Neurospora crassa OR74A: one gene and its partner. The protein of the gene in region 1 interacts with the protein of each later gene in a biochemical or structural test. Links are inferred from orthologs where the notes say so. Each region holds a gene or a part of one and is shown on either strand. Other genes may lie near its edges.

What was found.
Region 2: the proteins of NCU00725 (region 1) and NCU04121 form a complex in vitro, tested with the Saccharomyces cerevisiae proteins (2 studies listed by BioGRID). The link is inferred for Neurospora crassa OR74A from reciprocal best matches to the Saccharomyces cerevisiae genes ENT3 and APL4.

The regions. Positions count from the first base shown.
Region 1 is NC_026501.1:7,405,121-7,409,561, forward strand, and holds NCU00725 (epsin-3), read left to right. Parts: upstream 1-1,492; 5' UTR 1,493-1,717; coding exon 1,718-1,799; intron 1,800-1,875; coding exon 1,876-1,907; intron 1,908-2,013; coding exon 2,014-2,093; intron 2,094-2,161; coding exon 2,162-3,533; 3' UTR 3,534-3,829; downstream 3,830-4,441. Other genes in the region: csr-1 (peptidyl-prolyl cis-trans isomerase), read right to left, coding at 72-211. UniProt on the Saccharomyces cerevisiae protein: Involved in the recruitment of clathrin to the Golgi network and endosomes to form clathrin coated vesicles. Plays a role in the trafficking of clathrin between the Golgi network and endosomes.
Region 2 is NC_026505.1:4,912,658-4,916,983, reverse strand, and holds the start of NCU04121 (AP-1 complex subunit gamma-1), read right to left. Parts: upstream 2,914-4,326; 5' UTR 2,612-2,913; coding exon 2,602-2,611; intron 2,517-2,601; coding exon 2,393-2,516; intron 2,324-2,392; coding exon 2,135-2,323; intron 2,074-2,134; coding exon 1-2,073. UniProt on the Saccharomyces cerevisiae protein: Adaptins are components of the adapter complexes which link clathrin to receptors in coated vesicles. Clathrin-associated protein complexes are believed to interact with the cytoplasmic tails of membrane proteins, leading to their selection and concentration.

The DNA of each region.
Region 1 (4,441 bases):
GTCCCTGAAGCTACGGGTAGGTAGGCGCAGCTCCCATGTTTGCGCGGACCTGGAGAAGCGGCTGGACTTACACCTTGGACATGATGCTGGATGTTTGCGAAAAAGCTCTGGCGCAGGAGAAAGTTGCAGTGGGCTTGAGAGATGACGAGAAAGTCGAGGAGACGAGAGAACCTGTTGTCTTAAGGACAGAGAAATGGCGGGGTCCAAACATTTTCACTAAAATGGAAAGGAGGGGTCAGCCAATCCGAGAAGTGGGGGGCGGAGAAGGTACGTAGCTGCTCGCCACGTGATTGATTGTTGCGACTCGAGCTGTCGGCCTGTCGCCACGCCGCCTGTTTCGGTCTCGTTTGCCAGTGCGGCGGGAGACGACGAAACAGCAGGTCAGCTTGACAACGTGGAGTGGTATGAGCCTCTGCAAGTGTCATCTTTGGCGCATGTGGGCTTCGGATTGGTTCGTTGGCTCAGGAACACCAGTACGAACAAGTAAACAGCTGCCATCTGGTGTTGGCGCTTCCCCCCCGAGTCTCCAAGGTCCCGTCGGCCCTGACGCTGACGGCAATGACAATCAAAACTGCCACCACCCGTGTGTGTATAGTTGGCAGCTAAAGCGCTGGCAAGAGCTATCCAAAGACATCCGGGCCAAAGGACCGTAGACCCATGGCTCCATCATATGGCTTGTTGGGTCTTCATAGCGTTGCGATTGCCTCTTTCATTTGGAGTCCCCCTCTGTCAATGCAGCCATTGACGACATTGCGGAGCCATGGACGATACCCCAAGCCGAACAAGAGGGATGGACGGCATTAACGACCTTGATGGCCATGTCTGGGGTAGGGACCAAAAGGCGGTGGTGGTATTGTCAAACTAACAAACCTCACCCCTCATCTCGAGCGTGGATGGAAAAAAGGACATTCGAATTGAATCTGATGCCAAGAAATCCCGGGAATGGAAGCTCTCAGAGCTCTGCCACAGATAGAGCTTGGAGCTTTGGGCAAGCTCCCAGCCGGCAGGGAGAGCTCCTCTAGACAGAAAAGGCTCAAGAAGAACATGGCAACAAAAGTAAAAATGATAACGTACCGGTTGTGGAAGATGAAATCCTGGATGATTGTAGGATGATAATGAAGCTAAAAGTACAAGGTAAAGTCCGAACAAACGAACGATGGAAATCTGCTACACGGCGATGGATGCACAACAAAGACCTGAGACGAGAGGGAGAACGGAGTCGGGTCGGGTGTTTAACAATTTTTACTCCATCCAAAATGCATGGAAGCGAGCTCCGGCGGCCGAGCGTCCCCTCCCGCCGCCCCGCGTTGTCGGCCGGCCCGGCAATTACAAGCAGAATTCTTGCCTGAAAACTCAGGCTTCAAAGAGCTGAGACGCTCGTGCCAAGCTTTCAAAGTCTTGGCAGACCTCCTGGGTTCCACTGGCTTCTTGGTGTCAGGGTGTTGGGTCAAGCGCAGGGGTCGGCCTTGGACGGCGTCAGTTGAGGTCAGCGCTCAGCGGCACCCTGACGCTAGGCCACCTCAATGTCCATCTGATCCCGACAAGACCGTGAAACGTCGCCCTGAAAGCGATCAGCCCGAACAAAAACCACCAAGTCGCCACAGCATCCCGCCCGTCTGGCAATCATCACCGCGAGGCTCAGATTGGATCTAGAGAAGAATTACCTTAGCCCATCAGAACAATTCCCAGCAACTCCGGCGATAGACACGTTTACGCAATGGATTTCAATAGCCTCAAGGATACCGTGTCCAACCTGACACTCTACGACATCAAGGCTGGCGTACGAAAGGTTCAAAATGGTAGGTGACCACCTAGTCCAGAACCAAGACTCCCTCATGATTTCGTGTTCAGGGTGCTGACAATGGCTCCAACCAGCTGTCATGAACTATACCGAGATGGAGTCCAAGGTATGCCCGTATCCACGCGCCACACTGGCACCATTCTCTTGCGCCCTTCGCCATATACTTGATCCCAGACAAGAGACCATGGAACGGGAGCTGACAGCGAACCCAGGTGCGCGAGGCCACCAACAATGAACCTTGGGGTGCATCGTCGACTTTGATGCAAGAGATCGCCGATGGCACCTTCAACTAGTACGTTCTCGAGAACTGCTCGCTTGTATACGAACGCGGCTAACTTGCGTTTCCCTCCTTGTTCTTAGCCAAACACTCAACGAAATCATGCCCATGATTTACCGCCGTTTCACAGAAAAGTCCGCCGAAGAATGGCGCCAGATCTACAAGGCCCTTCAACTACTAGAGTACCTGATTAAGCACGGTTCCGAACGAGTGGTGGACGATGCTCGGTCGCATCTTACCCTCCTCAAGATGCTGCGCCAGTTCCATTTTATCGACCAGAACGGCAAAGACCAGGGTATCAACGTCCGCAACCGCGCCAAGGAACTCGCCGAGCTCCTCAGCGATGTCGAGCGTATCCGAGCAGAGCGCAAGAAGGCCCGCGCAAACAAGGGCAAGTTCACGGGCATTTCGGGTGGAATGAGCTTCTCCAGCGGGAGCAGCGGACGTTATGGCGGTTTCGGCAACACTTCGTATGGCGGTAGCAGCAGTGGTGGCGGTGGTAGCAGCTCTACCTACGGTGGCTATTCTGGAGGAGTTTATGGCGACGGAGGTGTTTTTGGTGGCCAGCCTTCCAACAACGACTACCGCGGGACCCAGGCACGGGCAGAGCAGTTTGAGGAATACGATGCAGGTGATTTGGACGCTGAGGCGTCGTCTCGTACCGCGCCAAGGACACCACGATCCACGACAGAAAGAGCCGGGGTCAAGAAAACAACAGCACCCGCCGAGCCGCCCAAGAAAAAGGAGCCCGAGATCGACTTGTTTTCCTTCGACGAGCCCGCAGCGCCATCCATCCCGACCGCGCCCCTCGCTGCCGCACCTTCCAACGGCTCTGGGCTTGCGGCTCTAGCCGGCGGCGCCAAAGACGACGACGACGAGTTCGATGATTTCCAGTCTGCAGCCCCCGCCACGCAGCCTGCTTCTGCAATTTCTCCCCCAATCGCCCCCCTCTCTACTGGCACACAGTTTGTTGCCCCGCAACCAGTTTCGGCGCCTCAGCAGGCCAACCTTAGCGGCATGGTTGCCCTCTCCTCCATCTCTCCTCCTCCCAGCTCCACGGCGACTCCTGCTGCCAACTTCTCGGCTTTCTCCACGCCCCTTTCGCCCGTCTCCCAGGCTCCCAAGCCAACTGGCTTCCAAGCCGGTCAGCCAAACTACTTTTCCCCGGTACAGCTGCAGACCCAGTCCACCGGGTCCTCGCTTTCAGGAACCAAGGCAACCGGTTCAGCTGCCTCCAAGCCAGCCGCTGGCGGTGACGCCTTCGGTGCGCTGTGGTCGCAGGCTAGTGCTGGAATCAAGAAGAGCACGCCTACCACCAAGGGTCCGGCTATCGGACAACTGGCCAAAGAGAAGAGTAGTGCTGGTATTTGGGGAACTCCTGCGCCCTCCACTCCGACCAGCGGTAGCAGGCCCACCACTGGCGGCAACCACGGGTTGGACGATCTGCTCGGTTAATTACCTGACTGGGTGTGAGGAGTTTTCCAAGGAGTATTTAGAACCGCTGTCGTCTACTTACGGAAGCGGGATCCTTGGAGTAGATCAAGGGTGTGCAGTTACACAAAGAGGAGATGAGCAGTTAAACGATTTATATTCCACGTAATGTTATTGGAGGTAGGGGTGGGTATCTTGCAGCGCCTCTCGTCTGCAACAAAATTTCACGTCTATTTATGCTGCATTCGGCTTCTTTGTGTTTGTCACGTTTTGTTTCCGCGTGCGAGTCCCTCAAAGAGTGAACTGATCCGTAACTTAAGTCCCCGTATACACTCATCCTCACCTTCACAATTCCAGAAGACCCAAGCCGGCTGTTGAGTCGCTCATGGTCAAGTAACCCGATGTTGCGGTCGATCTGTTGTTTTATCTTGTGGAATTCGCATAGCTTCCATCCCTGATGTTCGTTTGATGGAACTTTTACCACTGAAGCTCCTTGCCTTCTTTATTGGCTTCACTTCTGGCCCGTTATGAACTGGTGAACCCCCTCAACCCCCCCCCCCCCCCCCCCCCCCCCCCCCCTTTTCCGTCTGTCTTTATTTTTCTGGCATATCAGCCTCCTCGAATGGTTTGAACAACCGTAAGGCTGGAGCATCATCCCAACATGCAGTCCATCAACATGAGCTAGAATACTTCATCCAATAGTGAGTTCATGGATCGCAAAGTATGTGTCCAGTGACTCAAGCCTCCGCACTCGCCCTCGGCTCGGTATGACGGCGCAAGGCCAGCCTCGAACACCCTCGACCCACCGATCACAACCTCAACAGTCGATCAGTCATTACCACCAAAATGATTAATGACTACGAGCACCAAAGCGCACACTCATGGCCAATGCGTCGAAACGTCTGTTGCCGTGAGCAACACGGAAAAATCAC
Region 2 (4,326 bases), on another chromosome or scaffold:
GGCGCAATATCCGTCGACGAAATATTGAGCAGCTGTAGCTTCTGAGATTTGGGCACCGCCGCCTGCAACCCGACAGCCGAAAGCGGACCGCCAGGGAACGAGTTGCGGAAGCGAGCCGTAGCCTGGATCATGCCTTCGGCATTTCGCTGTATTTGGATGGTGACGTTCAGTCCGTTGTTGTCGTAGCAAGCATGGCCGGCCGCAGCAGCGGGCTTGGGCGCCGCTTGAGGAGCCGGAGCCGAAGCGGCGGCCGGAGTGGTGTTGAAGAGATCAAGGACTGCTGATGGAGCAGCCGCTGGTGCAGGTGCGGGAGACGGAGTGGAGGTAGGTCCCTGCGAAAAGAGATCCATGATCGAGGCAACGTTTGACTGTGCGGGAGCCGGCGAGGCCGAGGTCGGAGGCGAAGTGGTGCCGCCGAGAATATCGGCAAGGAGGTCGGCATTGTTCGTCCCGCCGTTGGGAACAGAAGGAGACGGGAGATTGGTGTCTCCCATGAGGTCGAATAAGAGATCCTCTTCCTTGGGCTTGGCAGCCTTGTTAGTCTTCTTGCCCGCCGCCTTGGTGGTCTTCTTGGCAGCTTCACCAAGTACTCGGGAGGACTCCTTGATTTGAGGAGGAGGCATCTTCTCAAGCACACCACGACGGATCTGATCAAAAGAAAACAGGTTGCCGTATTCCACCGCACGCTGTTGAACTTCGACATCCAGACTTGTCTGGTGGTACTGAAGCAGACGGCGAACTCTCTCGATTTGGGTTGCGTCTTGCAGCCTAGTGGTGAGCTTGATGAGTGCCGTGATGATGTACTCGGTGGTGACTTGGGTAGCGTAGTTGCTGTTCAAGATGGTTGTGAACAAGTCGATAAGTTCATGCTCCTTGACCTCCTGTACGAGCTCCTCCTCCTCATACTGACCACCCCTGAGAAGAGCGTCGCCATATTCACCGATGCACCACGCGCCGGCCTGCGTCAGACTTTCTTGGGTGATATCCTTCTTCAAGTTGGTGTAAAGCTTTTGCACGGCGTACGTTTGTAGCTCGGGAGTCGTAGCGATAAGGCGAATGAACGAGGACAGGATGGGCTCCTTGACGTAGTTACCGGCCAACGTCAAGACACGGAGCATCGTATCGACATGCCACCTCTTGTTCGGGGCGTACCTATCAGCGGCGATACCGATCTGGCTAGTCATATTAGGCTTAAACTCATTATCCGCCACTTCCAGGAAAGCCAACAATTCTCGGATAAGGACGCGGACGTTGCTCTCGTTGATTAGGGTGAAACTCAGATCAAGAGCTCTCCTCCTGATACTGATGTCGGGGTCCCTAAGGCACTCCAAAATGGTGTTCCGGTGTCTTTGTACAGCGTTGGTGTCGATGGCCACCACCTTGACCAGCGTGTTTAGCGCAACATAACGGATATTGTTGTCCTTGTTAGCCAAGAACTTGCCGAGGATGTTGACTCCCAGCACGCGCAAGCCGGCATCGGCCTCGATATCGAGAATCGTCAGTACGGCCTCGTAAAGGATCGAGTTGCCAACGTTCTTAGTAGCGTCGGTGTTGGTCGCAACCTGAGCGAGGATATCGTTGATCTGCTCCGTAGTCTGAGCATCGCCGCGGGCCAGGACTCGGAGAAGGCGCAAAATCTTGACCTGCAAGAACGGGTCGGTGATGCCCGTAACGTCGTGCTCCGGCGCATAACCGGAAGAAGCCAGTCCTTTGAGAGTCCTCACGAGTACCGGCACGAACTGCCTGAACTTCTCAATGATGCCCTCTTCCCCACCCTCGGCCTCGTCAGCTTCACAAAGGCTGGTCACCAATGTCAAGCCGCAAAGCAACACGCCATGGTTGCGATCCGATAGTAATTGCGCCGCCTTCTCGACAAAGTGTTCTTGGAGATCCGGGACCTTTTTGCATATGCGCATCGCACACAGAGCTGCCTTGCGCCGGATGTATGGGTTTGTCGTCGATATAAGTGTTTCGATTTGGGGAAACAGGTCTCTAGACATCTCGACCGATGCGATGTTTCCGAGGGTGCAGAGGGCGAGGCCCACCACATACTGATTCGAATGGTTAAGATCACTGTCGAGCCGAGCGTCAGCATCACGTTGCGCACCCATAATCGTCTTCCTGGGCACCATACTTTTGCAATGAGTTGGTAACCAGAGTAAGCACTTCCTGGTTTTCGTCGAGCAGCAAACTTGTCGCGAGATGGCCCAGACGCTTGTCGGCGAAGCGCGGAGAGGCCAGGAGCTTCAAACACTCGATCTGACCGAAGTGAGTGCGCTCACCGAGGGTGAAGAGGTATAATAGCTTGGCCACATTGTTGCGCCTGCAATGACACAGTTGATCAGCAAACCGAGATCCCGGGGAAGCTTGGGTATTGGCAGCTCAGATGCACCTGACGCTGTGATCGTGGCTCTCCTCCCTGAAGCTGGCCCTTATGGCGGCGCTCTCTTTCTGGATTACGGCTCTCTCGTCGGCGATGGTCTTTGCGGCTCGGACATTGCGAATAAACTGCTTGACTGTTTGCCGATTACAAGCGTCAGTTTTGGCCTCGTCCTGGTCGCTCGAGGCTTGGGACCATGGCGATGCCGGTGGCTCACTTACGGGAACTCATGGCGATGCAATCATTAGGGGCCCGCAAGGGGGCCTGTCTAGGGGATCTGGACCAGAGAGGAAGTGGTAGCGGATGCTTGAGCTCTCGAGATGGCGGGGGAGCTGCGGAACGGAGAGCGGATGGCGGTTCTTTGGAATTTCAAGCAAGGGGTATCCGAAGAAAGTAGAGGCACGCAATGGACAAAGTTACGATACGGTAAAGCAGCGGTACGTAGACATTCATGAGAGAGGATCATCTTTTTGGGAACCCGGCCGAAACACGACAAGTGGAAGCCCAGCACACAATGGGCGGGCGTGCGATGTGGCCATGGAATGCGCTTATTGGAGCTCCTCTTGACCGTGTGTGTCCACCCCCCACCTTGACTTGACCTCTCCCAGCCCGCTCCCAGCCCCAGGCAGACGGTGACGGTCAGCACCACGGCAGCAGTAGATACCTAGGTAGGTACACTAGAGGTAGGTACTACAGTACTGGGACTCGTGGCCTCAGGCAGGCACCTCTCTGCTGCAAAGCTTCCCGGCAACGACGCGACGGCAGGCGCCAAACTCTCTGAAAAGCATGGACCTCAGGGACCCTGGACAGGTCACGGTGCTGTTCCTCAGCTGCGATGCAACGACTCGGTACGGCGGGAAGGTGGGGCCTAGACCGTCTTGTCAGGCACCCTGACGGCCTCGCCGGAAAAGGGGTAATCAGGGTTAGGGTCAAAATGATGAATGTCCTGTCCGAGACCAGCCACAGCATCAGACATTGCTCTTCTTGATACCTACGTAGGGCGGCCTTATCTTGTCACCGCTTAGATCTGTGAGGATGAAAGATGAATAAGAGCATGAGTTCCGTCAAGATTTGCATGAGACGCCGGCGATTTGTTGAAGAAGGAAGGCTAAACACATGTAAAGCTTGTTCAAGTCCTGAAGAAAAGTTAATAGGCTACTCATCATCACCGTCAGTGCTGATTCTGTACTGGACCAGTCCTGAACACATCGAGCATGAGGGCGACAGCAATGCTTAACTATTTGCTTTTCAACAAGACAGCAATGAGCGTTTGTCAACTGACAAGCTCGGCCATATGACAATTGACTGTGCGAATACTGTATCATCGAGCTTCAGTTTTGGGGAACATGCGGTTCATCTATGGTCACAATACTGATGAAATTGACGAGGGCATCACAAGCAGCAAACAGCCTCAGCGCAACCTACAGCCATCACTGACCGACAATGACCTGATCCTCCATACATCAACGGTGATCGGGAGATGAGTTGATTTTCTAGATGCTGTGCCGTACGGATGTGTACGATATGGAAATCCCTATAGGGCTGATGATATCCACATATTCGGCCTGGGCTTGATGGTTGATGTCGCTAGGCAACACTGCCACAATCATCCTGCAGGTCATCCCCACTCGTTGACAGGTCTCCGGTCTTGCTGGTGGTCCCTGATGACGTGAACTCAGCAGCTGTGCATTTGAAAAGTTTATGTAGCAAACAGTAGGGTTTCATCTGAACCTCCGGACGGAAGTGCTCCTTTGCTCATGTGGTACAGCTTCCACTTGGGAGACAACACCGTGGGTAATGGCTCCTCACTAGCAAAGGCGGAGTAAGATTTGATTGATAACTGCTTTGGAGACGAACCGCCACGGACACAAAGTCAAACGGAGAGAAACTTGAGGTGCTAGCGTCAATCCATGTCAACTTCACCCCATTGCTTCCCGAACTCGGTG